Linked DNA regions of Arabidopsis thaliana. The protein of the gene in region 2 interacts with the protein of the main gene of each other region in a pairwise test. Each region holds a gene or a part of one and is shown on either strand. Other genes may lie near its edges.

Region 1 (9,298 bases), on a different chromosome or scaffold from region 2:
TACTTTTTTCGGAAAGAAAGTTTCGATTCTTCTCTAAATAATTTGACCAAAAGAGGGTACGTATACATATCTAAAACATATTTCTTAGAATAAAAACAAAAAGTTATGAATGATGGGAGAGAGAAAGAGAAATTGTACCGGCGACATCTTGACCATCGTAGATTCCACGGTGAACCGTACCAAAAGTACCTCTAGCAATCACACTTTTGATTATAAGCTTAGAAGGATCAATCTCCCACTCTCTCCTCGACTTCTCAACCTCGGTCGACCTAATTATGTCGTTCTTGCTGCTGTTGTTGTTGTTGCTATATCCACCACCAAGAAGCGGCCTCTGAAACACAAGCTGTCGATGTCCGAAGTTGTTCTGGTTATGTCGGGTGTTATTGACGTTATCTTCACCATCACTCAAACTCTTCCTCTTCTCCATCGTCCATGCTTTACTTAAGTGTCTCTGCAATTGCTCGTCCAGACTCTTTAAATCTATCTGATCTGCTCTCACGTATCCTACTCCTCCACCACTCTCCGCCTTCTCCTTCATTTTCTTCTGCAAAACCAAAACCTTTTCAAGTTATTCGAAATGGCTTTTTTCTCCTTTACTAAATTGAGATTTTCATCTTTTTTTTTTTTTTTTTTTTTTTTTTGATTGAGGTTATTTTATTGGTTTCTCAATGGGTTGTGAATTGTGTGATTGGAGTGTGTAGGAGTTGAACAAAAAGAAGCAGAAAATAGGGAAGTTGTGTTTGTGTTTATTGCAACAAACAACTAAAGAAGAGGCTAACTCTCGCTTCTCTCTTCTCTGTGATTAGACTTCTCAGATTTCTTCATACTCAAAAAACCTTTCTTTTATGACAAACAAACGTTTACACGTGACCACATGGGGTGTCCTTAAGGTGCTAGGGGTCGACGTGTGTCGGCTCCACTTCTCACAACTCTCTTTTGGATAATAATTTGTATCCGGACCCAAAAGTCCAAAACAATGGTCTGATATACTGTTATCATTTATTTTTTTCTGATTTTATTTTTCAATTTATTTAAGATTTTTTAAGGAAAAAGTTTTAACTCTTCTCTTTTTTTTTGGTAGGCAATTAACTCTTCGCTTTCTTTCGGTGTATTTTTCTCTTAAAAATCAGTTCAAGATAAATATAAAAATAAAATTTATCATTCTGAAAATATATATTAGAAATCTCAAATAAAAATATGTAACATCAAATATAATGTATTTATCAAATCAATGAGTAGATATATATAGTTCATGTCTTCATGAAATCATGGGACTCTTGGTCACTTTGCTACTTTTTCCTCAAGCTTTAGCCTTTTCGTTTTGTGGGTTTAATCTTCTTCGATCGATTTATACCGGATTCATAAACGTCGTCCTTGGACAAAGATTTAAGCCCGTTCAACGGTGCTTTTTCATGATGGATATGTAAAACCTAAACCGAACCTGACCATTTAATTGCCACAATAAAGAATTGCAAACTTGGGCCTAGGCCCATAATGTGTAGGCGGACAAATTTAAACAGCAACATACACAGACAAATTTCAGATGTTTATATTTTATATGACCAAAAAACTACGAAGCTACAAATCTACAGTTTCACTATCCGCATCCGGATCTGTTAGACTGGGATATCCGGGTTCCGGGTACCAGAATTCGACAGTTTTAAGGATTTGGGTATCGAACCCAGAAATTAAAAGATCCAGAGTTCTAGGGTTTGTGAGATATCGAGAAGAGATCGAAATGATTTTGTGACCTTCAAAGAATGATTTTGTGTTTGTGTCGGCAAGTGATAATTAATTGGGCTTGGGTATCAAAAATATTTGGTTTGTTAAATATATGGGCTTTTAGCTAAATGGGTTTCCAAGCCTTTTTATTTCATGTAGTTAATGGTACCGGATCCGGATATCCGGGTTCATTTTTTTCATTATCCGGATCCGCCCGTCCCGGATATCCTTATTTACGATTCAATGATTTTTTTTTGATTTTTTTTTTTTTAGTTTTTATTCAAATTTCTGTCCCCCAAGATTTTAATTCTGTAAAATCAAAAACCAGTTTCATCAAGATCTGCATGTAAACAACAACTTGGTGTTATTGAATTGACAATGTGAAATCGGGTAAGGCTTCAAAGAGTTTCCTACAGCTTCCAATGTAGTATGGTAGCCACATCTTTAACCTACCAAACAACATAGAAAATAAAATCAAACCATAAATACAACCGATTTGATACACAAATAATAAAGACAATTGTTCATAATTAAACCACGAAAGATCTATATCATCTGCTTTTCCTTTTTGTTTTATATATATGAAGAAAGTTGGTAGAGAGGGAGAGATAACTCATCACAGTCAAAGGCACATTACAAATTACATATGGGGTAGATATATATTATATACGATGATAATAATGATGATGATGATGGATGGTCATGATGATGATGATGATGATGGATTGGTTCATACAGAGCTAGTTTCGGAGAGGCCAAATTCAAGTCCCCAAAGCTCAAAAGCACCCTTGACGAAGTCATAGTAGCCTCCCTTCAAAGCAAGTGTTCCCTTCACAAGTCCTTCTCTCACAAATGGATATGTCAATAGGTTTGCTAGTGAAACATTCACCGCCTCCTGCATTTATCAATACATTTATATTGTTATATATGATCAGCTCATCGATCTAACATGTGTTTGTATACCCTTTCACATCGGCCACATTGATCTTCAAAGGCTGAATCTCCAAGTTCTGATATAACCTTTGACTTGGCTGGTAAACAGATTTTGACCCAGTCCTCTATGAAGTCACTGCAATTAACGTATATATTTTTTACTAATCTCATTTAATAAATCCTGTTATTAAAATTGATTAAATTTTAATAAAATGGATATAGAGATATTTTACGTGGAGTTGTTTCCATCTAAGGGGAAAGACATAAGCCCTTTGATCCCACCACATGCACTGTGTCCTATCACCACAATGTTCTCCACCTACAGTAATAAATTCATTCAAAAATTAATTACATGTACTTTGATAAATAATTTTTTTTGGTTAAGGTGTTAATTATTTTATTTTATTTTCACCTTAAGGTGTAAGACCGCGTATTCAATGGCTGCTCCAACGCCACCGTATTTGACCTGCCAATTTAGCAACCCAAAAATGAAAATAGAAAGTGAATGTCACGACTTCTCAAGACAAAAGTCAAGACTCAAGAGGCAGAAGGTTTAAGATAGAAGAGTTTATATCTATAGAGAGACAGACGTGTTAAATTATTAACCTTGTCGAAAGGAGGAACCATGTTGGCTATGTTACGGACCACGAAGGCATCTCCTGGCTGAAAGTCCAGAACGTGTGATGGACACACACGTGAGTCTGAACAAGCAAACACCATGTACTGCACCACCATTCACACACCTTTGTTAATTACTTTTTCTTAATGTTTCATTTTTAATTTATAAGCAACCATGATATACACATAGTATTAGTTTTATTTTTAATTTACCTTAGGACTTTGACCCTTTGCGAGCTCACCGTACAAAGCAGGGTTGGTTCTGCAAATAAAAGTATAAATATGAACCAGTTAATTAATCTAGACCACTTTAGTTGGTGACATAATTAAGAACAAACAAATGAAATAGAAATATATATTACTCGTATTTCTCCTTCTTGAATTTGATGAAGCCCTGCTTAATGGTTTCGACGGGGTCGAAAGCTTTCTTGTCGGATGAAGTACCTGTCTGAAGAGCCGCTGTGATCTGCTCCACCTTTGCCGCTGCAACCGTCTTTAGCTCTTCCTTCTCGCTGCCATATGTTTATATACATTTATAGTTAAATCACAAAAATTATGAATTAAGTAGTATTGAAAAATCCCGTTACTAATTTATAATAATGTTTTAGCTTTTATTAATCTAATCATGTATTAATGTATGCATGCGAATAGAAAAGATGTATATACTTACATGAGAAGCTTCTTGAGAGCTTCAATAGCCTCGTCGTATGCTTCGGTTCCCATCTCTTCACTCTGCAAGTTGGTTGACCAAATAAAATTAGAAGAAAATGAGTACTAGTATATTTTATTGTCGTGAACGTAATTAAGTAGAGAGCGAGTCATGACGTGTTTTAAATGTTGAAACTACAATCAACCTGTTCAGAACTTCATTATACGATAAAGTACAATTTTATAGTCTTTTATATTATGATTTTATTTTCGCTAGTAGGAACCAAATCGGTAGGTTGAATGAATAAATATAGATGGCGACTTAATCACCACTATGCTCCACACGCTCTCATATGGTACATGTGCATACACACACGTCTCAGTTTCATGAATCGTTTTTGTTGAAGCTACTACTAGCAACTTTTCTTTTATCACGTGGATCCTACGTACGTTCTAACTCTCAAAATTTCAAAAATGTCGGATCTTGGGTAGGAATGAGACAACGCTTTTAATATTTCGAGGTGATTTGTTTTTAACTTCACTAGATGTCGAAGCAAGTAGTTTGAAGATCTGTATAGAATAAGGATTGAAAATGAACTCTTCCCTTGCTTGTGATTCACTAATTAAGCAACTTTAGTTTGATTCTTGTTAATTTGGGTAATTCTTTCAGTACCACGCTAAAGACCAAAAGTCAAACACGGATGATAATAGTAAGGATAATATAAGGAAATACCAAGGGAAAAAAAAACTGAAATGTGAAACACATGTGACAGTTTCCAAGATTTGTGGAAGTTTCGTAAGCTAGTTTCTATAGAAGATTTTTGTTCCTATCACTAAAATGGCAATTGCAGAATCTATATAATAATTTCGTAAAATCTTTACAAATTTTAAAATTCTGTAACTTTAGTTTGCTATCTATGTAATGTACCCCTATTATACGTAAACAGCAATGTAAGTTATGTAAGAAATAATGTAGGTTAAGAAACAGTGATGAATGTAAAAATGTATACCCAATAAGGGGCAATGATAGGAGCAGGAGCGGCAAAAACTGGCTCGTTACGGATAAGCGTTGGAACGGAACGGGAAGACGAGGAGGAGGAAGATGAGGAAGAAGAAGAGGCGGGTGGGAGGCAAGCGACGGTGGAAGAAGTACGAAGAGAGAGTTTCTGGAGAGAAGATTGAGAAGGAGAAAGTGAAGTGAGAAAGAAGCCGGAGAGAGGAGCGGTCGACATTTGTTGGCGAAGAGAAGCGGAGATCAGAGAGAGTGAGATATGTGTATTTATAGTTAGAACTAAGACTCTTATGGAAGCTACTATATACTTAAGTGAATAATGGGATTGGTTGAAAGATTTGGGAGTTTAAAAGAACGGAGTCTCATGGTCATGGTGAGGTTGTGGGAACGAGGATAACGAAAGCGATAGCTGCGGTGAATAACAAACTTTCTTCTTTTCTTGTGGATGAGGAATATTAGCTCAAGATTTCAAAACTTTTACGTGCTCTTTTCTTCTTTCAATTCTTTTTTTTATAAAAAAATAAAAGGTCTCAGAAAGGTTTAGAGGATAAGGTCCCTTATCATGAAAACAAGGATCAGCCTCTTTCACTTACCCTCTCAGGCTCTCATCTTAAATAATCACCACCCACTTTAGATGTTAGGCCATTTGTTTGTGGTATACATATAGAAAGATCCATACTTCTCTAGGCTCTCTCTAGACCAGAGATTGCTATTGTATACACAATCTAGAAGATGCAAAGGATTAACATCGATCATGGACTGTTCTACTCTACGAAACAACAGACTCAGTGAAAACTCTTAGCATGAAAATGAAGAGGAAATAAAAAAAATAGAGAAGAAGGGTCTCTCCTCTCAGACCTTCCATGGCCATAAATCATCATATAGGCAACATTAGATAACAGAGTTTCTATTTTCTTCAACATGTTAGGAGAGAGCGAGAGAGAGAGAGAAAATGAAGAAGAAATACAGAGACCAGTAACGCATTAGGGTTGGTTTTGGGACTTATATGTAAAGTGGGCAACGGCGAAACTATGTCGACATTTTTTCATGCAAACACACAACATAATGTCAACATTCTCTTGTCATAGAGTGCGCGAATGTGGCAATGTTGTTCACAACGATATTAGGGTTAAGTACCTCGAGGAATGGATAGAGACAGAAGAATGGATGTAACATTTTAACTTATGCCAAAACAAAACTTCTACGACTTTGGGCATAGTCTTATTGGACAAACTGAGAATGCGATACACCGAGCTGCTTTCGCCAGCCTAAATCTTTCGCTCTCTGTTAACACTCTCTCGATCACCTTTATGATATTTGCATCCTGCAAAACATTGTACAAGTTGCTTCAGGTTTATGTCTTGAACCAATCAGGCAAATATAACGTGGAACATCTTATTCAAGCTTTTCCTATTGTATGAAGAAGAGACTACTGCATAGTAGGAGTAACCTTTCTTGGTTGTTGAATTGTAGGCCTGACGTTAGCAACATCACCAACTACAATTATATTGTTCGTGTTTCCTCGGTCATCTCTTTCCGTTGGTGAAGTTGCTGAATGCCTCCAATCACCGTTGATTATGTACTTGTAGTAGTATCTGCCACATTGTCAATAATCACCAAGTTATATGACACAAATGCATTTTCATAAGTTTCTTTGCAGTTTGCAATCCCTCAAAAGTCACAATTAACATGCAGGGAAGATTATGAGACGTTTTACTGTTGAACCTTAAAAAAAGCATCAACGGGAAAGGTAAAAGAAGCATGACTTACTTTCCCTGTGTAAGTCTAACTTCAGTTTCAAAACGTGGACCGCCTTTGTGCGTTGCTTTTATCGGTTCTTTCCAATTTCCTGTGAAATCCCCAACCAACAATACCTCCTCCCCCTGTAAACCAAGGTGTAACTTAAAACACAGAGGCTAGTTGCTCAACCCTACAGATCACGAGTTCCATAAAGAATTGCAGCAAAGTAATAAAAGCATGTGAAGCAACAGTCACCTCATGTCCATTCCACACAAAGGTTACAGAGTGTGTTGGAGTCCCATCATGTTTGCCATCGTCCACCATAGCGATAAGATCCCATGTTGCCCAAGCAATTGCAGGTCTGTGAAAAAATACATATAACTTGTCTGATGTTTTCATTAAAACAGAAAAGCTATCCATGGTCTGCAGGTTAATGGTCAAGACAGAGATAAGATGGATAAAAACCTGTCAGGTTTGCAAGCGTGCAATCCAGTAACGAAACTATAAGCAGCATGAAGAGAGGTATCAGTCATCCAGTGCAGATAAGCAATCACACAAGCGGATGACCGGTCAAAACCAGTGGTACAAGTTACAAAGACACGATGGTTCTTTTTCAGTAACCGTAGTAAGAGCCCAACACAAAGTGGTAGCTTCTTCCTAAGATCAAAGGAATCTGCATCCCTGGCACCAAAATATCAAAACTGATTAGAGCGGTAGGAAATGAAAGCATGAACGCACATAATGTGCCTCAAGGCGATATGACTTTGCATACTTTATAGGGTAGTTGATCATTAAGACTTCAGATTTCTGGCATGCATCATTGATACTTTGTGAATCGATCCCCCAGTTTTGAGCTTCAGTTCCACCTTGGAAATTTAGTATGGCAGTAATTCCCTGTAGAAAGAAAAGTATGGCCAGTTAAAACCATACTTTCAATTCTATCATTTGCATACCATAGGTAGGTAATATAAGTCATATAAAAGACTCACAGCTTCCGACAAGTTTTCCACATCCTCTTCTGTTTGTATGCAAGAGCCAACATATATTTGCTCTGTAATCTGAAAAAAGGCAACAAGAGAAGAATGGTGTTTGAGAGATTGAAGAGACAGAGAGAATCATGAAACAAGAGTAATCGGGAAAAAGAGACAAATTTCAGACCTTACTGTAGCGCATTCCAAGAGCATGGTTATAAGAAAGCTCTCCTTTAGAACGGTCAAGGGCTTTGATGTATTCCTCTAAAGGGAAATTCCCATAACCCCATTCCCCATCTCCAGGAACATCTTCTGAAAAGACAGAGACCAGTGGACTGATAGGTGGAGAAAGAATGTTCTTCTTAGTCCCTGACTGAAAGGAATTGCTCTGTCTATTCAAAAGTTTCCATCCCTGAGGAGTAAAGAATTTGGAGGAAAACGCAGCATAGCCAGAGTTACCACTGCCTTGTGATGATGCTCTGAGATTCGATGATAAGAGGTTTTTGTTCCAAGTAACAAAAGACACACGCCCTCTGTTATAGAGCAAATCAAGGTCGCTCAAATGAAGCAGATACTGAATGGGAAAGGGAGAGAATGGTCTTTCAAGAACAAGGCTAAAGGATCCAGTTTTCTCTACCAGCATCTTCCTGAATAAATCAAAAACTGGAAGAAATAAAAAAGAAAATTTCAAAAACACTGATATGCAAAGTGTTTCCATGCTAAATCTTCCCATGTTAACTAGTCACCAGCAATGTTTAGTTAACAACATTAACAAGTTATATAGAAGCCTAGTACTGTACAATTCTTACTTGGTATCACCAAAATCCTTGATTTCCACAAGAGTACCACCAGAAGAATCACTAGCCTTCTTGAGTGTATCTCCTACCATGATGATTCTCGCCTTCTCCGCATTGCTCTACAAACAAACAAAAAAGTTAATAACTTTTCAAAACTCCTGAGATTACTACTACTTCCACATGACATTCTAAGGATCGGAGAATACCCCTTTTTTGATGGCGTGGACGAAGATCTTGCCATCTGCTGAAAGTGCGAAGCGAATCCCGAGGGGCTTCTCGAGAGTGACCATATACTCATTCAAATTCATTTTGAACGGAGTAGAAGAAGACGACATCGCAACAACTCTAAGAACGACTCTTCTTCGTCTGTTGAATCCGAACTTTTCCCTCGAACCCAAGTACGCAATTCCTCTTCCGTCGAATACACGGCCATTACCGCTCCGGAATGAAGATCCGATCATAATTGACGGACAAGATCGTTCGAGAGCTCCTAAACCGGAGATTTGTTGAAGAAACGCCATTAAACCGATCCAATAGAGATTTTTCCGAGAATGTGTGTGTATGGAAGAAGTTGGAACTGTGAGCAGAAAACGAGGCGGCAGAGGAAGGTAAGAAAGAAATTAGTGGTCCACGTGTCTTCACGTAGGTCCCGCTTTCTCGTGGAAGTATCTAATTTCCTTTTTATCAACACATGACACGTGTCTTTTCCTCTCAGTGAGAAAAAAAAAATGGAAAAAAAAAATATCAAACGTTCCTTTGAGTCAACGCATTGAATTGGACTTCAATACACGAAACAAAAGTTACATGGAAATATTTATAAATACAATATTTAAACAAGTACCTAATTGCTATTATAG
Region 2 (8,211 bases):
TAGCAAAAACAATTATGGTCCATGTTCAATTTTTTGAAATATAGATCCTAATTACAAATGTAAATAAGATTTTGACCTTTGTGTACACTAGTTTTTATGGTAATTTTATTTTTTCATATTTTTAGTATTTTTGTTGCTATTTCGTATCTTTAGTTCTTTTTTCGTTATAGTAATTTTTGATGCTATCTTATCATGTTGGAAAATTAACCCCATATGCATATATGTTTTATACTCCTCTTCTAAAAAGAAATTACTTATTTCTCTTCTGTTTTTTCCCACACTTTAATTAAAAACATCATTTTGTTTACATGCAACAATATAGCTAGAGATGTATATTTAAAAACCCAATTAAAAGTTTACATAGAAATTCATAAAATATCTAACCATATAAAGCAATAAAAACATTTGGAACATCGACGTATATGAAATAAGCATAATTGTTTTTTCCCTAATAAGTATACTTCATATAAATGTTCTTCCAAAATAATTTGGTGTAGTTGTTATGTAAAATATATATTTGGATTCGGCTTTGTTTATTATGACTTTATGAGTTTCTTTTATTCTTCTTCTAGAAATATTATTTGCAGTCTCTAGAAAACTAACGATTTATTAAAGAATTTTAATTTGCCGATTAAAGTTTTCTTCTAGAATTAACATTGAATTTTGGAATACTTTCTACGATTCCATGCATTTTAAATTAGAAAACCATAAGAATATCGAGAAGAAGGAAAACGACTTTCTAGAATTTGATTTGAATTTTAGTTGCTTCAAAAACATCGATTTTAATTCATTGTTGAGTAGTAGACTGAGAAGCTAAAATGTATGAAAATATAATATTTTACTCACAAAACCTAAACCTAACCCCTCTCCCTCTCACATACTATATTTATATTACGTACTATTATGAAAACGACGTTGAATCTTGAATGTAATGTCTATATATAAACAGTTAATATATAATTTAACGTGACATGAAAAAGCGTAGAAAATTGGTTACACGAGTTAAATATAACCATTTCTTTCGGTTGGTGGATCGAACTTTGCATCGACCTTTTACTGGATTTGTTTTCTTAACCACTACAAAGTTTATGCATCGATCGGCTGTAGATTTGTGACCTTAGTTTGAATTTCGGTTTAAAAAGTTAGTAGCTATATCAAAAATGTTAAACTAAAATATTGGTGAGATATTAATTATAGGACTAGAACCCACAGTCTATAAATTTAAGAGAAGAAAAAGAAAAAGAAAGAAGATGTCGGCATCAGAGGAAGACCGGAGCAAGTCGTGAGAGTTGAAATGGTCGGACACCACATGCTCTCTTTCCCTCTCTAATAATACATTATGCAAGTTATCAACTCTCTCTCTTTCTCTTTTTTTTTCATTTATCACTAATTGACAAATTATAATTGTTATAAAAATGCAATATAATTAATGGATTTCAAATATTATCTATTTTTTCTTCCGATATTTGATTAGAAAAATTACTTTTTAGTGTAATTTTAAGTTTTGGTGTTAAAAAAAACTATAATTTTAAGTATTATTTCAGAATATAATTTGATCTGAGATGGGGATAGTTATTGGGTAGGCGGATTTGCCCTACATATTGACAAATGCTAGGCACTTTTAATGGAGTTGTGGGGAATTTACTATGGTCTGCTGATTGTTTGGGAGAGAGGCTTAGGAAAGTGGATTTAGAGGTAGATTCAGAGTTGATAGTAGGATTTCTTCAGTCAGGGATAAGTGAGGCATATCCGATAGCTTTTGAGATATGTTTGTGTCATAGTTATTTTTCAAAGAATTGGTTAGTCCGAATTTCTCATGTGTATAGGGAGACTAATCGTCTAACAGACGAATTAGCAAACTATACGTTTTATTTGTAGTTAGGTTTTCATACATTTGATTTTTGCGCTGATGTAGTCCATTTGATTATGTTACAGGACGCAGTGGAAACAGACGTCGAGTTTGTTTATAAATTTTTTGTAATTTAATCTAATAAATGGTGAAAGGCAATTGTTTCCTCCACCCTACCAAAAATAAAGAATATTCCAAATGAAGTTCCATAATATTCTTCGGGGTGTAGAATAGAGGTGTTTTCTTACAATTTAGGACGTCTATACTAGTAGCTATGATTGAAACCAAGACAAATCCAACAATTGTGGTCCAAAACAATATTGTACATTGCTTAAGGAAAGCGTTGAAGATAATAAATCAGAATTAACCAAAAAGAAAGAAAAATAATAAATCATTGTTATGGTCGTCTTATGGATCCTAGTTATATACGAATTGAGTTTTCATTCATAGTTGAGAACGAATTCGTTTGCTCGCGTGTGAGTTTAGATCGTGGTTGTTTTTGTTTGATCGTCTACTAGTGTTAATTAAGATCATTATTTCTTAAACCCTTGAATGGTTCTTCTAAAACCTATGCAATGACCGTGAAAACGTTGATGATATTAGTTTTAACCAAAGAAATGTTATGCTAATAATGATATTGTGATGTTAAATTAATAAAGAAAAGGTTATGCTTAGCATGATCCCAAGCGATAATTCGTGTGTCCTATCATTAGGTTTGGAAAAACTCTACCAATCATAGACGATTAGACCAGTATAGTTGATTATAGTTTTCAGAATTCAGATTTCAGACCAAAGATAGAGTTGTGGACGTAGGTTTCTTGATTTTTGTTTTGTTTCTGTTTATGTTTTTTTGTCGTTATACATGGATAAAAAAAATTCCAACCAATCGTTACCTTGAGATGTGTAGTTGGACTTTTATTGCCTCATCAATACACTTATACAAAAGGTTCAATTTTCTGTCTAATTATGGACATGTTTATTTCAAATGTATGGTAATCTTCCAACACTTATAATACCATAATGAAAAATACTTCTGTTTATATATATATTGAACTGAGATTCAATTAGTGCCACCCATGTGACCTGATGGACTCTCCGTAGACAAATGTGGGGGCAATTTTGTTGGATCAACCAAACCCAACATTTATTTTATATCTGATTTGAAGATTACATTAGTAAATAAACAATGGTTAGAGTCAAGTTTATACAAATATATGGGACCCAACTAATAAGAAAAAAAAATTATTGACGTCAGATATATACTAATAAAGTATATAACAAAGGACCCTCAGTGCATGTAATTAATATATATTTTCCAATAAATATCAAACTATAGATTTTCTAATGTATTTAATGTTATTATTTCTAACTAGTAATTAATTGATAATTTGACAAATAAATTTTTGTTTCACATTATTCTTATATAAAACTGTAAATGATTTGTAGCAAAAATACAAAACTGTGTATATAATATACTTTATAAATAGTTTCTATGTATTGGATCCAAGTAGGATTTCGAAGACTTTGAAGGGCACATCTTTTTCAAAGTTTACTTATACATATTTAATGTAAGATAAAGTCATTGTTTATATGTTTTTTTCTAGAACACTTAAATTTCCACAATATGATAATTTAAATTAATTGAATTTTGTTTTACTTTGGTTGGTTTGTGGATAAAATCCAAATATTACAGTCACTATCTTTCGACGTGTCTCACTTGCAACCTAATCCTTTTCTGGAATGTAGCTTTTTTTTTGTTTGTCAATTTTATTTCTTTCTCTCTTAATCCATAAAAATTTTAGGCATTTTTGTATTACTGTCAAAGAACTGATTAGCTATGTCTTCTATATATCTAAAATAAACCATAAGAATCATAGTTCATACTCATTATGGTATTCTTAATTTTCTGAAACTATCGATAAAATGTTAAAACGTTATATACAAAAAAGGACTATCAACGTAGCAATAAAATGAATTTAGACTTATATGAAAGCTAATGGTGACGAAGAAGTTGACGGTGATGCCGGTCATTTGGGTCGGTGGTGGTTCCGTCACGGAGACTTTGACGGTGCATTATTGACGTCAACATGAAGTAGCTCTCACAAAACACAAAAAGGACCGTTTAGTTTGCTAGTTATTAAAAATATAATGGGCTTCAAGCCCATAATAACATGTCTTTTTACAAAACAGAAGCCACGTATTATATAAACCCATTTTTTAATATATAAATAATTGGGCTGTACTTGGGCTTGGACGGTTTCACTCTTTTATTTTTATTTTTTTAAAGTTTTTTCTATATTAGTAATGATATATTTACAGTGGAAGCCTTTTTGGCGGAAAGTTCTATTAATACTTATACACAAAGAAATTGAGGTTCAAGTCCCAAATACTGTGATTTATTAGCAGATAATGGAGATAAGTGTGCAAGAGATCTCGAACGATGTACAATTATAACTGTTTGCCAGGATTTGAAGATCTTTCAAGGTGTCCATCAAAAGCATGAAGACGGAGAAGAAAGTGTCGTCTTTCGTGGATCTAATAAAGATCGAAACAAATTACCCATAATAGAATCGGCTATATAACGGTTCTCATAAATCATAATTTGCAATAAATAATAAATCTAAAACGGTAAAAGAAAAATATATTTACATGAAAATAACATGTCATTTTAAATATTTCCAGAATTAAAATATAATTCCAACTGTCAACGGTCCATATACGTTATCTATAGACTATATAGTACATAAATTATTTTAAAAAGACAAATAATTTGTTTCGAGAAATAATGTTGCTGTCTCGTCAAAATTGGAAAAAAAATACATTTTAAAATACAGAGAAACGAATTATTGAGAGGAGAAATTTAGAGACCATTCAGGTTTTGATTGAAGAAAAAAAAGATTCCCATTTTATCATCTTTTTAGTTTTTAGTGTCAACTCTCCAACAAAAGCAAAAACCTTAAAGAATTTTGTTCTTTTTTTAAAGCAAAAGAACCAAACATGGTTTCACATGAATCCCAATTTCATTGCAAAGCATAACTAAAAATAAAGAAGAAGACTTTTTGGAGATCGAATCTGTTCATGTTGATGGGTTTTGGCTGAGCTTTCTAGAGATAGAGCTAGAGAGTACTGGGTCTGTGTAAAGTTGATAACTTTTTTTGGTTTAGAGAGAGAAAGGACAGAGCTTTACAGAGATGGAGATGAAGCAGATGAAGTTTCTTACTCACCAAGCTTTCTTTTCCTCTGTTCGATCAGGAGATCTTAGTCAACTTCAACAGTTAGTTGACAATTTAACCGGAGATGAGCTAATCGATGAGTCATCGCCGTGTTCTGCTGTGGCTGAGCTTATGTCTGTGCAAAACGACGCCGGAGAGACCGCCGTCTATATCTCCGCCGCAGAGAATCTTGAAGACATTTTTCGTTACTTGATTAGGTTTTCTAGTTTGGAAACAGTTAAGATCAGATCCAAATCCGACATGAACGCTTTTCATGTCGCTGCCAAGCGAGGTCACTTGGGTATGTCTCACTAATTCTGACTTCAAATCTTCAAACTTTGGCTCTCTGATTATGATTTTGAATCTGAAATTGCTGAAAATGGATTTGAATTTCGTAGTTTGAAGATATTTTGATGTGGCTCTGCTTATGATCTCCAGGAATTGTGAAGGAGTTACTGAGACTATGGCCAGAGCTTTGCAGAATCTGCGACGCTTCCAACACGAGTCCGCTTTACGCAGCTGCGGTTCAAGATCACTTAGAAATAGTAAATGCAATGCTTGATGTTGATCCTAGCTGTGCAATGATTGTGAGAAAGAACGGGAAAACATCTTTGCACACTGCGGGAAGGTACGGGCTTCTTCGGATAGTGAAAGCTCTCATAGAGAAAGACGCAGCGATTGTTGGTGTTAAAGATAAGAAAGGTCAGACTGCTCTTCACATGGCTGTTAAAGGACGAAGTTTGGAAGTAGTCGAAGAGATTTTGCAGGCTGATTACACAATATTGAATGAGAGAGATCGAAAAGGGAACACTGCTTTGCATATTGCTACTCGAAAGGCGCGGCCACAGGTATTACTCCACTCCTTTCTTAGCTTCTTGTATTGCTAGTTAGCTTTCAAGAACAGGGGTTGACACATAAATGCCTTTTGTGTTTTGTTTATTAGATAACGAGCTTATTGCTGACCTTTACGGCGATTGAAGTGAATGCGATTAACAACCAGAAAGAAACTGCTATGGATTTGGCGGATAAGCTGCAATATAGCGAATCTGCTTTGGAGATCAATGAGGCTTTGGTAGAAGCTGGGGCTAAGCATGGGAGGTTCATTGGTCGAGAAGATGAGGCGAGAGCATTGAAGCGAGCAGTGAGTGATATCAAACACGAGGTGCAATCGCAGCTTTTGCAGAATGAGAAAACCAACCGTCGTGTCTCTGGGATCGCGAAAGAGCTGAGGAAACTCCACAGAGAAGCGGTTCAGAACACGACTAACTCCATAACGGTAGTGGCGGTTCTGTTTGCTTCCATAGCGTTCTTGGCCATATTCAACTTGCCGGGTCAGTATTTCACGGAGGGGTCGCATGTGGGACAAGCCAATATTGCAGGGAGAACCGGATTCCGCGTGTTCTGTCTTTTAAACGCGACATCTCTGTTTATATCGTTAGCGGTTGTGGTAGTTCAAATAACTTTGGTGGCGTGGGACACACGGGCGCAGAAGAAAGTTGTGTCTGTAGTGAATAAGCTAATGTGGGCAGCTTGTGCTTGCACATTCGGAGCATTTTTGGCGATTGCATTTGCGGTTGTTGGAAAGGGGAACTCGTGGATGGCGATTACCATAACGTTGCTTGGAGCACCGATCTTGGTAGGGACATTGGCAAGTATGTGTTATTTCGTGTTTCGGCAGCGGTTTAGGAGCGGCAACGATTCACAGAGAAGGATTAGGAGAGGGAGTAGTAAGTCGTTTTCATGGTCTTACTCTCATCATGTATCCGATTTTGAAGATGAATCAGATTTCGAGAAGATTATTGCTCTTTGAATTAAGTTTCTTAAGCGTCTTTGTATAGATCGTCTCTTCTCTTTGCCTTTCTTCCAACGCAAGTCTGTGTTGTATTCTTAGAATAAATCTTGTTGGTACATATTAGTATCATATATAGCAATAAAGTCGCCACAGGCCATATCTGTATTGTTTCTTTTGTTCTACTACTGGAAGTGGTTAGTATATGTACAATTCATTCGAGTACTAGTGAAGTGTAATGTCTCTTATTAGCAAACATTGTATAAGATGTAAATCATTGTGAGATGAGGAAAATGTAAAAAGGAGCATCATTTGACATAAAATATCCAATAAGTGACCTCTACAAACTCATGTGGTTTTCCAGTTATAAAAAAACAACACAAAACCACATGATCACTTCTTTTTCTTACATCTCCACATAAGGTAAAAATATAAAAAGCTCCAAACAATGAAACAAATTCAAAGAAACGAGAAACCCCCAAAAAAACAATATAAAGGTAGACTGAGGGACTGAAGAAGAATCTCTCGTAAATAAAAAAAACCCGACAGAGAGAAAGAGATGATGGACACGACCGTAGCTTTTCCACAAGTTCCGTCGAAACTTGAAGAGTTACTAAAAAAGAGAGATATACAATTTTACAGGAGACAAAAGGGATCGGTGGTGTCCACACAAAGAAGATGAAGATGATGATTGTCGGGGATGGAATATTATTTATTATTTATGATTACCAGGTAGGTTAAAGCTGTAATTGACCAGGGCCTTTTCTTGAAGTTCTTGATGGAGGTCTATTGTTATCTGCAACTGATGATGATGTCGAAGAAGGTGGTGGTCGTTGTTGTTGTTGTTGTTGCTGTTGTTGTTGCTGCTGCTGCTGTTGTTGTTCTTCAGATCTCCTCACCTCCTAATACATCAAATTAAAGCACAATGAGACTATCCATATCTCTTAACACTCCAATTGCTAAGGGAAAAAACCGGTAAATCTTGCAAAAATGGCAATAATGTTACACCATCCTGTTATATTATACCGCAGGTTAACAGACAAAAATGTGTAGCGTTATGTGTACCTTTGATGTAGAAGAAGAGGAAGAGTGATATGAGTAGTTCACTCTAGTCCTTGCCTGGCCACGATGTAGATTCTGTACGTTTTCGAACTGTTGTAGCCGCACAGCAAAATTGATTCCTTGGTGAGAACTGTTGATGTTATCGTCTTCTAAGTCACCGTCCTCGTTTTGATGCTTATACTGAGAGAAAGGAACTCCTGAAGTTGCTCTGCCTATTTGGTTTCCAGTACTGAATGAGTACGTTGGCACAGTTTTGAGTCTTGTCCTAAGTATCTTGAACGCCGCACTTTGCTGCATAT
Region 3 (7,153 bases), on a different chromosome or scaffold from region 2:
TCACACAATCTCTAACTGAAAAAGGTGTTCATGTTGCTAGAGACGATGGTGACAATGTGTACAGGATCAGATGCGATGCGGTTGTTGTAGGCTCAGGAAGTGGAGGAGGTGTTGCAGCTGCAAACCTAGCTAAAGCTGGATTGAAAGTCTTGGTTCTAGAGAAAGGAAACTACTTTACAGCTCATGACTATTCGGGTCTAGAAGTTCCGTCTATGCTCGAGTTATACGAAAAAGGCGGCCTTTTGACTACGGTTGATGGGAAATTTATGCTCTTGGCTGGTTCAGCTGTTGGAGGAGGTACAGCTGTTAATTGGTCTGCATCTATAAGGACACCGGATCATGTTTTGCAGGAATGGTCTGAAGGGAGTAAGATCAAGTTTTTTGGTAGCCAAGAATATCAGTCTGCAATGGATGAAGTTACGATAAGGATTGGTGTCACGGAAAGATGTGTCAAACACGGGTTTCAGAATCAGGTTCTGCGGAAAGGGTGCGAGAGACTCGGTTTGCAGGTAGAATCAGTTCCAAGGAACTCACCAGAGGATCATTACTGTGGCTTGTGCGGGTATGGATGTAGAGCAGGAGCCAAGAACGGGACAGATCAAACCTGGTTGGTTGATGCTGTAGAGAATGGTGCAGTGATCCTGACAGGGATCAAAGCTGAGAGATTTGTATTAGTAGACAACACTAGTAGTAGCAATGAGAGAAAGAAACGATGTGTGGGAGTGTTTGCTAGCTCTGTTGGAGGAAAGATTGGGAAGAAGTTTATTATCGAAGCTCGAGTAACGGTTTCATCCGCTGGATCGCTGTTAACACCGCCTCTGATGCTTTCGAGTGGGCTAAAGAACCCGAACATTGGAAGGAACTTAAAGCTGCACCCGGTTCTGATGACATGGGGATACTTCCCGGAGAAAGATTCTGAGTTCTCCGGGAAAATGTATGAGGGAGGGATCATCACGTCCGTCCATCATATGAATGATACTGAATCTGGATGCAAAGCAATACTGGAGAATCCACTGATAGGACCAGCTTCTTACGCAGGGTTGAGCCCGTGGGTTTCAGGACCAGACCTTAAAGAGAGGATGATTAAGTACGGAAGAACAGCTCATCTTTTTGCTCTGGTTCGGGACTTAGGGTCAGGTGAGGTTATGATGGAAAACGAAGTTACATACAGGACAACCAAGAAAGATAGAGAGAATCTGAGGGCAGGTCTTAGACAAGCTTTGCGGGTTTCGGTTGCAGCTGGTGCAGTTGAAGTCGGAACATATAGGAGTGATGGACAGAAGATGAAGTGTGAGGCAATTACTAAAGAAGCCATGGAAGAGTTTCTAGACGAAGTTGATGCTGTTGGTGGGGTTGGCACAAAAGGAGAGTATTGGACGACGTACTTCTCGGCTCACCAGATGGGTAGTTGTAGGATGGGAGTCACCGCGGAGGAAGGTGCGTTGGATGAGAATGGTGAGAGCTGGGAAGCAGAGGGGTTGTTTGTTTGTGATGGAAGTATATTGCCATCAGCTGTTGGGGTTAACCCAATGATCACCATTCAGTCTACTGCTTACTGCATCTCCTCAAAGATAGTTGACTCGCTGCAAAACAAAACAAAAGTATAGAGAAGTAAAAAAAGAAAGAACTGAAACCATCCCATTAGTATTCATATCGAATAAATATGTTTTTCCTTGCAAGACAAATTTTGTTTAAGAATCATGGAATAACTTATCTTGACGACAACAAAGATGTAAACAAATGATATATCATATATGCACCAAGATTCAAGAACGTTAAAGCTGTTTTTTTTTTTGTTTTTTTTGATAAACCCTATCGGCTGATCTGGTCAGCACCGGTAGAAATGCACCGAAATACTTCAGAATGGACTTCTTTCCGAAGGACCACCTCACTATCTGTCCCGAATTTGGATGCCTTCCGACTAATGCCAGGGGGTAATCAGGCCGCCTGTATTTCTGCCTACTAGATAAACCAATTGGGCCAAATCCCAACTGACAGAATTCCCAAACAAATGTGATTTTTGTTTCAGAGAGGATCGAACCCAGGTCTGGAAGTTTCACCCTTCCCCAAATCTTCTCCTACCACTGGACCACAGATGCTTGGGCTTAAAGCTGTTTGTTTGTTTTTTTTTTTTTTTTTTTTTGTTGTTGTAAAGTTTACTATGTTTCTTAAAATTTTGTCGTCAAAATGTAAAGTTAATATTTACGTGACTATACTTAACTTTTATGAAAATGTAAAGGATATAGGAATTTCCTTATTAACATACAAACGGGAGCTGTCTATAAAATATAATCGTCTCGAAACGAAGAAGAACGAAACATAAACAAAAGTGACTAAACAAAAAAATCGTTGTGTTGCAAAGAACAAGATGAATAGTGCTACCTCATATGCCATAGCCGTAATCGTTGTCTTCTTCGTCATCCTTTCGGCTATTTTGTCGTGCTGGTTTAGAGAGATTCTAAATTTTTTTAGAGACAAGAGTACGACTGATGTCTCTGCGAGTGAATAATTCCCTCCGTCGATTAAGGTAATCAACATTTTTTCTCTGAAAAGTATAGTTAATAATTGCAGGAATTGTGATGACTAAATAGTTCTTTTTTTTTGGTGTGGATAGGAACGATTATTTTGGAGATGCAAAATCAGAGTAGGGCGGGTTGTTGAATTTGTTTTGTTTGTTTTAGTATGACTAATTGTTTTAAGGGTTCTTTATTTTTATGCTATAGATTATTGAATTATTAGATTATCCTTCAATAGTTGCATCTATCGTGGTGTATTGTTTGTGTTTGGCGATTTTACATACAACAGTTATCCAAAAAAAAAGGATTCTAACAAACAAACACTACAAAGATTATGCAAGATCTCCAAGATAATTCCACAAGAGTTCATACTTATCTTGATAAAGAAAAACGTAATATCTATGATAATATGCAAAACTATTTACAAGTTTTAAGAAAAGCAAAAAATCAATTAAAAAATCACTTAAAAAAGACTTTATATTAGTTAATAACTTAATAAACACTTCCCAAACCTAAATGCACAACAAACGCATGGCCGAAACCGAAACGAAACACACAACACAAACCCTGCTCGGGTACGTCGTCGGAAAAATAGAAAGTCAAGCAAAAGCGGCAGGACTCGGCGGAGAGATCTCTGACCAGCTGCAGGTAAGTCAATGGGATCACTTCGCCGTAGTACGAGCAACCGCAGCCGGAAGAAGGGTACGGCGGTGAAGATGAATAGGATGCCTTCATCTCTATCGCCTCCTACTCCGCCTTGTAGTGCAATCGTGGGAGGGACGGGGAAGTCAAAGAAGAGAAGAGGAGGAGTCTGTCTATGGACGAGGTTTGATCGGACTGGATTCATGGAAGTGGCTGGATGTGACAAGAGCACCATCATCGAACGTTCTTCTGTTTCGGCTAAGGATTTAAGAACTGCCTTCTCGCACTCTTCTAAAATTCTAGGTATACACACGTTTGTGTCTTTTTTGCTGACTAGTTTTCACAACAGACAATAACAAATCCATGTCTTGCTATGACGCAGCCAGAGAGAAAGCTATTGTCCTGAATTTAGAGGTCATAAAGGCGGTAATTACTTCAGAACAAGTTATGTTGTTGGATTCTCTCCGTCCTGAAGTTCTTACACTCACTGACCGACTAAAGCATCACTTTCCTCGGAAGGATGGTCCTGAAAATATATTGCAAGCTTCTTCTCATGGTCATCAAGAAGGTGGAGAAGAGGGTTTGAAGAGTAAGCTTCCTTTTGAATTTCGGGTACTAGAGATTGCATTCGAGGTCTTCTGCTCATTTGTTGATAGCAATGTGGTAGACCTTGAGACACAAGCTTGGTCTATTCTTGATGAACTAACCAAGAAAGTCAGCAATGAGAATCTTAAAGACCTAAGAAGTTTAAAAACTAGTCTCACCCACTTGCTAGCCCGTGTACAAAAGGTAAAAGGTTATTACCTTTTCCAATGATACTATAATGTTGTGTGTTGGACGGAAACATAAAAGCTATAGTACATTATTCAGGTGAGAGATGAAATCGAACATTTCTTAGATGACAAGGAAGACATGGAAGACTTATACTTAACGAGGAAATGGATTCAAAACCAACAAACCGAGGCAGCATCAAATAGCATTGTCTCCCAACCAAATCTTCAACGGCACACATCAAACAGAATAAGCACCAGTATGGTGACGGAGGAAGATGACATTGATGATATGGAGATGTTGCTTGAGGCATACTTCATGCAACTAGAGGGAATGCGGAACAAAATTCTTTTGGTAAGTAGTAAATGTACCTAAATAGGTCTAAGAAAACCATATAAGTTTTAGATGCAAGCTCGGGTTATGTTTGGTTGTTATGTGTTAATGCCCGGTCCTTGGTAATTTAATATTTTTTTGAATTGCAGATGAAGGAGCATATTGACAGCACAGAAGCCTACGTGAAGATACTACAGAATAGTAGACGTAACGGACTGATCCACCTAATGATGCTTGTGAATATAGGCAATTATGCAATAACTGCAGGGACAGTGGTGGTCAACTTGTTCGGTATGAATATACCAATTGGATTGTATAGCACACCTGACATCTTTGGTTACGTTGTGTGGGCTGTCGTTGCGCTTTGCATTGTGCTTTTCATAGTCACCGTTGGTTACGCCAAGTGGAAGAAGCTACTTGACTGATAAGAGACTAAACACATTAGGTTTAGTCATTATGAGATTAGCTTTGTGGAATTCATTTTTTTTTTAGTTTGCTTTTTCTTATTGATTCAATGCTTTTGTTTTTATGTTATGGATTTTTGCATTAATAGTTTATCCTTCAAACAATTTTTCTATAAAAGGAGCTGGCTTCTTGATATATGTATGCATCATTGGTTACGAATCAACGTGTTAGGGAAAGCACAGATTGACGAGTAAAATCCATTACTTGGGAACAAGTTTATATTTGCATAGAACATACAAAAATGTTAACAATCTATGAGTGAAGTTTATGTAAATTTTCCTAGACTGACCTTTTGAGTGAAACTACTCTATGCCCGTTACAAACTAACAGTACGGGGTTACATTAGCCTTGTCGACACACGAAGGCCTCTTCGCTTTATAGTAGAAATGCGCAATCATATGAACCAATTCATCCGCCGTGCGAAAGTCTGCATCAAGTTCAATACGCTATGATAATCTATTGCTCACACATATTGCAAAAAAACATGAAAACAACGTTAGCAACATAGCTTATCACCTTTCTCCCTGTACAGAATCCGGTTTCCGCGTAAGAAGAGAATCTGTGGGCATTCCTTAGCTTTAAGAGCATATGCCAAATCTGTCTCGATGTTCAGGTCAATCTTAACCGCCTGTTTCATAAAACATGGTGATTCTTGTTAACAGAGAGCAGCCACATTAACATGTAATCACACCAAGAGAGATTAGTACACAAAGAGTAATGTTCAAGTTAAAACTGCAACTAGAGAAGGCTTTCGACATACCCGTGGAGGTAATCGATCTTTCGCATCCCAATAAACTTTGATAGCTTTCTCAAGCTCCTTCAATGTCTTCCAGTTATCACTAGCTCTATAAAACGCACAACAACTCAAAAAATTATTCCAACAGTAGTAGATTTTGGTCACTCTAAGAACAAGTTTCAGTTTTTATACTCATTGCAGTTAATTGATCATGGAATCTAACTCAAATGGCTCTTTCAACTTGTAATCATAGTCTAGATAATGTTGTGAAGGAAAAAGAACAAAGCTTTCATAGTTCTACTATGCACACCAAGTGTTTGTGAAAATTCGTCAATGAAATAACAAAGCTTATACCTTTTGTATCGCTCGAATACAAGGACAACGAGTGGACTAGGATGAAAAGCAAAGCTTTCCCATTCCAAACAATTGATCTCCTTGACCCAACTATCATCAATCTCACCTTCCCAATCAATCTCACTCCCATCATCTCCAACCACGTTTTTGATTGGATGTGTATCGAAATACTCCGAAGCTTTGATTCCCCATCCAACGTCTGTATCTACTGGCCAATCTGGATCTTCCTCTTCCACCACCATCTCTTCTTCTTCTTCCTCTTCTTCATCAACGCCTCTGTCTTTGATGAAATTCGCCTTCTCCTTGTTCTCAAAAACCTCCGGATTCTGCTCCTTTATGGTGGAGAAAGTACGCTCGAGGGAGCTTCTCACGTAATCTTCCACAGCGTCTGCTTCACTCCGCCGCCCACGCTTCGATTTACGCGGGACCTTTGTCGGAAACTTTTCATTGTTCTCGGTTTCAGCAATTGGCGTAACTGCTTCCTTATTTTTGCGACGGGACCGAGTTTGATTTTTGGATTCAGGGTCTAGTACGGAATCAGACGAAACAGCGGCGAAGCGTTTCACGCTCCGGGATGATATAGTCACCGGGAAAACAAATAGTGGGCTGCGATGCATATCAGAGAAGCTCGAATTCAAGCCGGTGAGAAGCATAGAAGATCTTGGCGCGGAGCAAGCAACAGCGAAGAAACTCATTTCTCTCGTTTCCTAAATTCAAAACGAAATTCGCAGAAATTTTTGGTAACTGAGTTTTTGCTCTTATAATCCACTTTGTCTGTATAATCCCGGTTTGGATTATTTCGGTTTGTGTTACTGTCCTTGATTTGGATCGGTTATCTTTCCCGATACTTGGTTTAGTTTATATAATCGAAACAGCGTCGTTTGAAATATTCATAATTTCATATACCTAGCTCCTCGCCTCCGTTAATGAAAAATTTGAAATATTTTTGGCAAATTTTAAAGTTGGATATGTTCTTTTTTTGGCATTTTCCCATTTCGTTATGTGATCACAATATCCATAATGTGATCACAAATTAGAAACATTGATAAAATATGTAAACTTTACATAGTCATAAGATCCTAAAATGGAATATTTTCTGACCTCAAAATGTAAACTCGTTAACAGTACACATACTAGTGTTTAAATATAATTTGTATGCAAGAAGAAGAAGCAGACACGATATGGAGAAGATTATTTTGGGATGCATTGTGTTTTTGTTGGTGTTCTGTGCCGTGTTGATTTGTCGTCTCTTACGTTACCTTTGTGAAAAACGGTGTGAAGAACCTAATAAGGTTTCGCACACACAAGAAAAAGAATCTAATAAGGATGACGTATT
Region 4 (7,699 bases), on a different chromosome or scaffold from region 2:
TTTTCAAACATTATTAATTTGTGTTTGAATAATTCTATCTCTATCATTCTTGACCATGCTTTTGAATAACTAAATTTTCTAAGCTGAAAAATCGGAAAGATTCATGAATAAATGATCAATGCTATATATGAAGACTAGAGTTACTTGTCTTATCTTTCTTGTCGTTAAAACTATATATGAAAACTAGAGTTAGTTAATATTAATAGACACTTTGTGTGGTTAAATAATAAATAATAAGTAAGATTTGCTATCTTTCTTGTCATTAAAATTGTATTATTGTTATTACCAACATAATATGTCATATATCGACCTGAAATAATTAAATCATGAGAAATTTGGCAAACGGAAACTTCGGATGGTCAACAATCTACAAATATATGCATGTATATAAATACACCTAAAGAATTCTAACCCGTAAAACAAAATAGTTTCCACTTTAAGTTCTGTAAAAGTATTTGACCCCTCTAGAGACCATGTATATATATGGTGACAAAAATTAATACTTTCAATATCTTCATTGTCTTCTCTCTCTCTCTCCCTAAAAAACATGGAAACTACAAAAAACACTAATCTCCAAAACCCTACTAAACTCCCAAAACCATTTCAACATCACCTAGAAGAAGAAAAAGAAGACGCACTATCTCTCCGAGATCTTCCCCTCAAAGCCAAGAATCCTAATCCCACCACCACCGAAGACCACAAAGAACCGTCAACGGAACTTTTTGAGTTTCTAACCTCATCCTCCTACGACGTAGCTCCGGCAGAAAATATAATCTTTGGCGGGAAACTCATCCCTTTAAACTACCAAAATGCTTTCTTTTCACCTCCTGAGCACATTAGCCGTCGAATCCGTTCACGGTCTGAGTCCTTATCCGCGATACAAGGCCATAAGCTTAACCGTCCCGGTAGTTGTACCGTGGCACGTCGTGACAATGCGGGACCTATGAGGGCAAGCCGCTCTTTAGATTATCGTAAGCTTTCACGTGGTCTAACCACCGTACATTCTCCACCGGAAAATAGTTCATCGACTAAAAACACGGGGAAGCCTGAAACAACGTCTTCGGGAAGTGTAAAAAGTGTAAGGCCAAGATGGTATGTGATCATGTTTGGAATGGTTAAGTTTCCGCCGGAGATCGAACTCAAGGATATAAAGAGCCGTCAGATTCGCCGGAATATTCCACCGGTTATGTTTCCATCTCCTGCTAACAGGAGAGCTCGTGGATCTCGGTCGCCATCACCGTCACCTTCTTGGAGGTTTCTCAACGCTTTAAGTTGCAAGAAGCCCACAAGCGTGGCTGCTACGGCGCCGTTTTGGGTTCCTCATCCATAAATTACTATATTATTCCTACGAACATTGTGCGCGGTTACTTGCTCTGCCGTTGATTAAGAAGGATAGGATCGTCATTTAGTATAAGAAATATCGATATTGTTAATTTATTTTGTGAAAGAATGTCGAAATTGTAATTTATTTGGTGAATCGATAATAGTTTGGACCATAACACATCTTATTCACACCTTTTTCTTTTTCTTTGATTTTTTCGTTATTTTGTATTTCAGCTCATTTAGAATATTTCAATATATATTTTAATAAAATTGTTTTTGAAATTGAATTGGTTAGGTGAGGAATGAATGATGATCAAAAGAAGCACGAGAAGGATATGAGAAAAATTTATTACCTTACTTTTCCCAATGGGACTAGTCGATTTTTAATGATTTAGACAGGAAGTTGTATCATTTTTTAGCATTTATCTGTGCTTCGAAGTTCATGGTTGATAAATGGTATGATCAAATTCCATCTTGAGAGACTGTGACATGCACCTTTCTTTTGTCCAGAGACTTCTAGATTCGAAAATTATTAGACATTTTTCTTTCTTCATAAATCTTTTTCACCATTATCATATGTCTATATGATACGACCTAATATTAAGATTTTTTACTTAGCTTAGAATTGACCTAAATTGGTACTTTTGGGCTGTGACACTATTAGTGATGAAAGAAATTGAGACGTCAACTATAATGCGCATTTTAAAAGAAAGTAAGACAATGATTGGAACAAATGACTTGCCAAGTAAGTGAAAGAGGACAAAGAATGTTTTGTTCCAAAACAAATATCTGAGAGACAAACAAACACTGGAGATATCATTGAGCACAAACACGCATTGGTTTCCTTTAGGTACACGTCTAAAGTTTAACGAAACGTCGTAGCTTCAAGTTTTACAAATTGATCTTACAAATTTACAGGTTCCTATATGTTCCCTGAGGATTAAGAGAGAGTAATAAATCAGGCTTTGTCCTTCATTTGAATCTTGACAAAGTCTTTTAATCTCTCCTCCTTCCCTCGAAGGATGTTGAATCATGTAGCATCTAACGAGTGTGTAACCCAATACGCAAGAATCTGTGAAAAAACCTGCAAGATACACGAAAAGGATGTAATGTTTAAAGATTGTTTTAGAAAACTTGGAGTTCTGATTTAGAATCTAAAATATCATTTACCTGTCAATGTTTCTTGAGAGTTTCTGAAACCGCGGTTTTAAGTTCTCAAGATGAATACTGCAAGGGTATAAACAAGGAATTTGATTCAGTTATAGAGAGTAGAGACTGTCATGGAACAGTGGTGTGACATAACTCATGAGAACCAAGAGAAGGACTCACATAGAAGAATCAAGATTAGCGTTAAGGAAAGAATGAGCTTAATAGGGCGGCTCAATGGAACGCGAAATCGTCTTTGATAAACCTTGACTCTGTCAAAGAGCTGCAAAATGATAAACAACTAAGACTTATGATCCTTTCTAATAGTGTAGAGATGATCCAAACTGCAGAAGCTTACCTGGTTATAATCACGACATCTCTGCAGCCAAAACATAGGTTTAGCTCCTTTCTCTTTAGGAGTGTCTTCAATATGTGATAGGAACTTCTCCCTCTCTTCTTCTTTTGCATTAACAGGGACATTAATCCTCAACGCACTGATATTTGGTACATTTGGTGAACTCCATGTTCTTCTTGTACCGCCTTTTTTATCTGCACTTTCCGGACTTCCTATGTCGTCAATGTCTATCACACAATCAGGACTGTCGCCATAACATCTACCCTCTCTTCTGCCATTGATCCCACGTGGATTCTCAGCTACAGAACTCGTTGAGGAATCTCTCAAGTTGATGCTATCACTGTTTAAACTCTCTGACGTCTGAGAAGATCCAGATAGAAACATGGCGAGATCATCACGCTCTTCTTTGTTAAGATCCACCCAACGCAAAGGTTGTTTCCCATTCTCGCTTAACGACTCTAGCAGAGTAGATTCCACTTGATAAATCTGGTTTTCAATAGCGGTAACAAACTGTTTATGCCTAGTTAAGGTAGTGTCATCTCGACAATTTCCATGGCTTAAGCTCACTGCCCTCTCAAACTCTTCCAACTGATTCAAGTCACAACAATATAACCAATATCACTAACACACTCATGAGTAACCATGAAAAAAAAAGGGAATGATCAAAGGACCATTGATTGTTTCATACCTGCCATTTAGCAGTGCTCAAAGCAGCTTGGAGTTCTTTGCAGAGCTCGTCTGATTCTACGGATACTCGACCGTCTCTCTTCTCTTTAAACCACAACCTATACGCAGATTCCATTCTGGAAATACAACACAAATAAGAAACAAAATTTCAAATTTGATAACTCAATTCCTTCACAAAACACAAAGGTTCTCACTTAGACCATTCTAGAGCCAATTAGTCCCCTAAACAATCGAAATACCCTATTTTTCAATTGAAATTCCGAATTCCACCATCACAAGCAACATGAGTCAATTAAACAAACAGAGAATCAAAAAACACATACATATCAGCAGATTCTTGAACCTCCTCAGCTGCAGAGAAAAAAACATCCTTTTGCCATAGATCGAAACTATTCGCTACCATCATCTTCGAAACCACACCTAAACCCTTCAAATTAAAGACCAAAAAATCAACCCGAAAAGATTCGTCGGAATAGATTCTCTCTCCGATTATAATCCAAAATTAGATTCTGCTTCCTTCTCTTCTCTTCTCTTCTCTTCCTTTTTTGCCTTCAGGAGGAAAGAAGGAATTTTTATTTTTTCTTCCTCCAGCTTTCTGTTTTTATTTTTTATTCCTTAAATTCTTCGATATTTCTTTGCTTTCTTCACTTTAAACGTTAATGGAAGATTTTAATAAAGAGGCCTCTCTGAACTAAATTGACCATATTTCACACGTGTTTTATTGTAATTGGGAAATAATTTAAAGTAAGATGGTCTTAGCTGCAGGAGATTACCGCTTGTCAAAGAAAAACATCAAGAATGTCCGTGTTGTTGTTGGGCCTACCGGTTTGCCGCAACATCAATTGTTCGCCAACCGCATTATATTATTATTATTATTCTTTATTTTAATACTCTCTATACAAGTCAAATGCTAATGAGTAAATAAATTCAATAAAAACTCAACGCTAATTTTAACTTTTAGTTTAGTAATAGACAGTAGGAGCAGGACAAATTGAGGTGGCATGTGTAGCGCATGTGATATCAAAATTTTAACTAGTTAAATTGAAATTCATAAAATGAAAACATGTTTTGGTGTTTTCAGTTTTGGAGAGACATGTTTTGTTAAATAAATTTAATTAATTAGTTGTTGTGATATGGTGAAATACCACCTTCTTCAACAAATCCCAACCTTGATTTTGGTGTTTTCAGTTTTAATTAGTTACCAAGACCTGTTTTTGTTCTTATTTAGACATTAACCGGTGGTAGATTCTAGAGATTGGGCCCATAATATATATATATATTTTTTTTGATCAAAAAGATTGGGCCCATAATATAAAACAACTTTTTTCTGATGCAAATCTCTTTGGGTAGGATTGGGCTTCACTACTACAATATGTCAAAAATCAGCGGTCAATATTATATTTAGAAAAAAAAAAAGAACGGATGGATTTTTCAGGTCACTTCTAGTTTGAAGTCAAGTGTTTGATGTGATGATTCTTTAAATGTCACTTCTCGAGTAAATTGTTTTCTTGAACTATAAATTTTGAAATTTACAGGTTTCACATATAACCTGTATAAAAAAGGGTGTGACACTAACCAATTTACAACACCCAAAGTCCAAACGCCAATTCTCTTTTATCTCTTCAAAACAAACGTAACCGACACGAAAATTTGAGACAACATATACAACAACAAAGTGGCAATTTCTGCAGCATTAGTAGATACAAAAGCCAGTTTAGTCTCAACTCTCATGTAGCAAATCTCAGAAGGTTAACTTTGGACAGTGCCTACTTTTGACTTAAGAGTAAACCAAAATGGATAACGTTATATTATATGGTAACTAATCATATATTATAATAATTTTGACTAAACAAAACGGATAATTAAAAACACACAAGAACCACCATTAGATGATGATCCTAGGATAAACAGTCTCTTATCATTCACTTCTCCTTCTCATCTTCTTCTTCTTCCTCCTCTCGAAACCCACAAACCTCTCTGTTTCTTCTATTAGGACTATCCAAAGCTCTCTTCTCTTGTTCTTCCTCTGCTTCTTCTTCTTCTTCTTGACCTTCCTGTTTCTTCTTCTTCAATCCAACACTCTTCCTTCTCTTCACAACTCTCTCCTTCAACACACTCACAATCTCCCTCACCGCCTTCTCCGCATCACTCCTATTCCTAATCAACACTTCACTAACATCAGCCGGAGTAATCTCTGCTTCCTCCACACATTCTTCCATCTCCTTCAAAACAACACTATCCATATCTTCTTCCTCAAGCCTCAGATAATTCTTCAACAGAATCTTCAAAGCCGGAAACTTACAAAAACCCATGTGAACATGCATATCCATCCTCCCACTTCTCATCAGAGCAGAATCTAACTTCTCTATATGATTTGTCGTGAACACAAATATCTTCTCACTCCCACAACAAGACCAAAGCCCATCTGTGAAGTTCAATAGCCCCGACAGAGTCACCGAGCTTCCCGGTTCCTCCAAACCCGACCCGTTTGTCAAACCTGGATCATATTCATAGCTCCCATTCTTCTTTTTGTTCTTTCCTCGTTTCGTCAAACTGATAGAACAATCAATGTCTTCGATGACAATGATAGACTTAGAGCTAGTCTTCATCAACAGCTTCCTCAATTCAGAGTTGTTCTGAACCTCAGTGAGTTCAAGATCGTAAATATCGTAACCAAGGTAATTCGCCATTGCAGCAATCAAACTCGATTTGCCAGTTCCAGGTGGTCCATACAACAAGTAACCTCGTTTCCAAGCTCTTCCCGTTTTCTGATAAAACCCTTGTCCGTTCGCAAACTCCCTTAGATCCTCCATGATTCGCTTCTTCTTCTCAGGATCCATAGCCAGAGTATCGAACGTGCTTGGATGCTTGAATCTTACAGAATCCCATGGATGGCTCCTCGCGTCGAGCGAAACACCTCTTGAGTTCGTGTAAAGCAGTCTCTCCTCGTTTCTCCGACGAATCTCCTCTGATTTTCCGACAATGTAATCAAGGTAAGAATCTAGGACAAGGGCTTTGTCTCTTTTGTTGATCTGTAACGTAAACCCTCGTTTCTCTTCCGGCATTGGTCTCCACGAAAAGCTCTGTACTTGACGTTGTACAACGACGTGTTCCCAGAGGATAGTGACGCCGTTAAATACGTCGGTGATTCTGTCGTTGTTGGAGAGGCCGAAAGTAACGGAGCTTGAGTTAGGAACACGTGTCAAGCTGAGACGTGTGTTGTTGTTGCTGCTAGAAACTGCGTCGTTGACGGTGACGGAAGAGCTGAGGTAAAGCTGAACGGCGTTGTAGAGCTCGTTGGTGTTGACGCCGTCAATCTCCGTTATGTCGAAGTAGATGTGAGAAGAGAACACGTGGCGGATACGTGTCAAGAAGTGGAGGAAAGCTAGTCGGAGTTCAGGCGGAAACACGAGTTGGACGATTGTTTGACAAAAGGCTAACATGCCAAGTAGAGAAGCCATTGTTGTCCAATAATCACTCATTTTCATTTTCTTACTCTGTTTCTTTTCCCTTTGAATAAAAAAAAAAATTGGGTAGAGAATTAGAGAAATTGAGAAGTGGGTTTGTGGTTAAATGAGGAGAGAAGAGTAGGTTTAGTGTAATTATGGAGATAAGAGTGTGATTTTTTGAAGTTATTATTCTAGAGATTTGGGAGGGAAAATGTTTGGTTGAGGCTTTTGGGAGAAGAGAAAGAGTGACGTTGGTGGAATTTATTGAAATAATGAAATAAGGGATCACCTCAATTTATAAGCAATTGGAGGAGTCGAGGAGACATTTTACTTTGTTATTTTACTAAAGAAAATATTGTTTTGATATTTGCGGATATGACCATTTATTTTGTTGTGTATTGTGTATTGTACAAATTATATGAGCAACTAGTACTCAATTATTTCATAGGTCTATGGTTTCTAGGCTTACAAAAAACAAATTACAAGTTATCGATTGAATGGGACTGCCAAGAGGTAATGGTTATGTGACATGTAAATCTCACATCGGATACTATTCGACTTTTTCTTTTGTCCAACAAAATGATAAAGATGAAAATATGAAATTACTTTTAAATTTTTTGTGAGCAAAAGGTTGAAACTTGAATGGTGAAGAATGATGAAAAGAGAATATAAAGGACGGTACCAAAGAAATGGATAGGTTTTTACTCTTACGCTAATTGAATCGGACAAACAAGTACAA

What was found.
Region 1: the proteins of AT2G01680 (region 2) and CA1 interact in a protein complementation assay, tested with the Arabidopsis thaliana proteins (one large-scale study listed by BioGRID).
Region 3: the proteins of AT2G01680 (region 2) and MGT5 interact in a protein complementation assay, tested with the Arabidopsis thaliana proteins (one large-scale study listed by BioGRID).
Region 4: the proteins of AT2G01680 (region 2) and AT4G30240 interact in a protein complementation assay, tested with the Arabidopsis thaliana proteins (one large-scale study listed by BioGRID).

What each region holds. Positions count from the first base shown.
Region 1 is NC_003074.8:192,721-202,018, forward strand, and holds CA1 (carbonic anhydrase 1), read right to left. Parts: upstream 5,441-9,298; 5' UTR 5,154-5,440; coding exon 4,932-5,153; intron 4,845-4,931; exon of another isoform or gene 4,128-4,844; intron 4,006-4,127; coding exon 3,944-4,005; intron 3,786-3,943; coding exon 3,636-3,785; intron 3,536-3,635; coding exon 3,487-3,535; intron 3,379-3,486; coding exon 3,262-3,378; intron 3,122-3,261; coding exon 3,068-3,121; intron 2,975-3,067; coding exon 2,889-2,974; intron 2,792-2,888; coding exon 2,686-2,791; intron 2,618-2,685; coding exon 2,459-2,617; coding exon of another isoform or gene 2,453-2,458; exon of another isoform or gene 2,172-2,452; coding exon 2,133-2,171; 3' UTR 1,706-2,132; downstream 1-1,705. Other genes in the region: AT3G01490 (Protein kinase superfamily protein), read right to left, coding at 139-538; LSF1 (uncharacterized protein), read right to left, coding at 6,135-6,257, 6,384-6,528, 6,704-6,816, 6,929-7,034, 7,139-7,354, 7,446-7,567, 7,663-7,731, 7,832-8,291 and 2 more. UniProt on the Arabidopsis thaliana protein: Reversible hydration of carbon dioxide. Required for photosynthesis in cotyledons. Binds salicylic acid.
Region 2 is NC_003071.7:301,557-309,767, forward strand, and holds AT2G01680 (Ankyrin repeat family protein), read left to right. Parts: upstream 1-4,694; 5' UTR 4,695-5,040; coding exon 5,041-5,362; intron 5,363-5,499; coding exon 5,500-5,909; intron 5,910-6,004; coding exon 6,005-6,871; 3' UTR 6,872-7,587; downstream 7,588-8,211. Other genes in the region: AT2G01690 (ARM repeat superfamily protein), read right to left, coding at 7,588-7,752, 7,916-8,203.
Region 3 is NC_003075.7:14,120,317-14,127,469, forward strand, and holds MGT5 (magnesium transport 5), read left to right. Parts: upstream 1-3,172; coding exon 3,173-3,461; intron 3,462-3,540; coding exon 3,541-3,947; intron 3,948-4,028; coding exon 4,029-4,283; intron 4,284-4,411; coding exon 4,412-4,687; 3' UTR 4,688-4,773; downstream 4,774-7,153. Other genes in the region: AT4G28570 (Long-chain fatty alcohol dehydrogenase family protein), read left to right, coding at 1-1,607; MRL7 (polyadenylate-binding protein 2-binding protein), read right to left, coding at 5,051-5,154, 5,244-5,355, 5,488-5,572, 5,818-6,512.
Region 4 is NC_003075.7:14,805,829-14,813,527, forward strand, and holds AT4G30240 (Syntaxin/t-SNARE family protein), read right to left. Parts: upstream 4,248-7,699; 5' UTR 3,918-4,247; coding exon 3,835-3,917; intron 3,628-3,834; coding exon 3,513-3,627; intron 3,413-3,512; coding exon 2,828-3,412; intron 2,753-2,827; coding exon 2,653-2,752; intron 2,551-2,652; coding exon 2,531-2,550; 3' UTR 2,494-2,530; intron 2,408-2,493; 3' UTR 2,061-2,407; downstream 1-2,060. Other genes in the region: AT4G30230 (uncharacterized protein), read left to right, coding at 548-1,330; AT4G30250 (P-loop containing nucleoside triphosphate hydrolases superfamily protein), read right to left, coding at 5,434-6,999.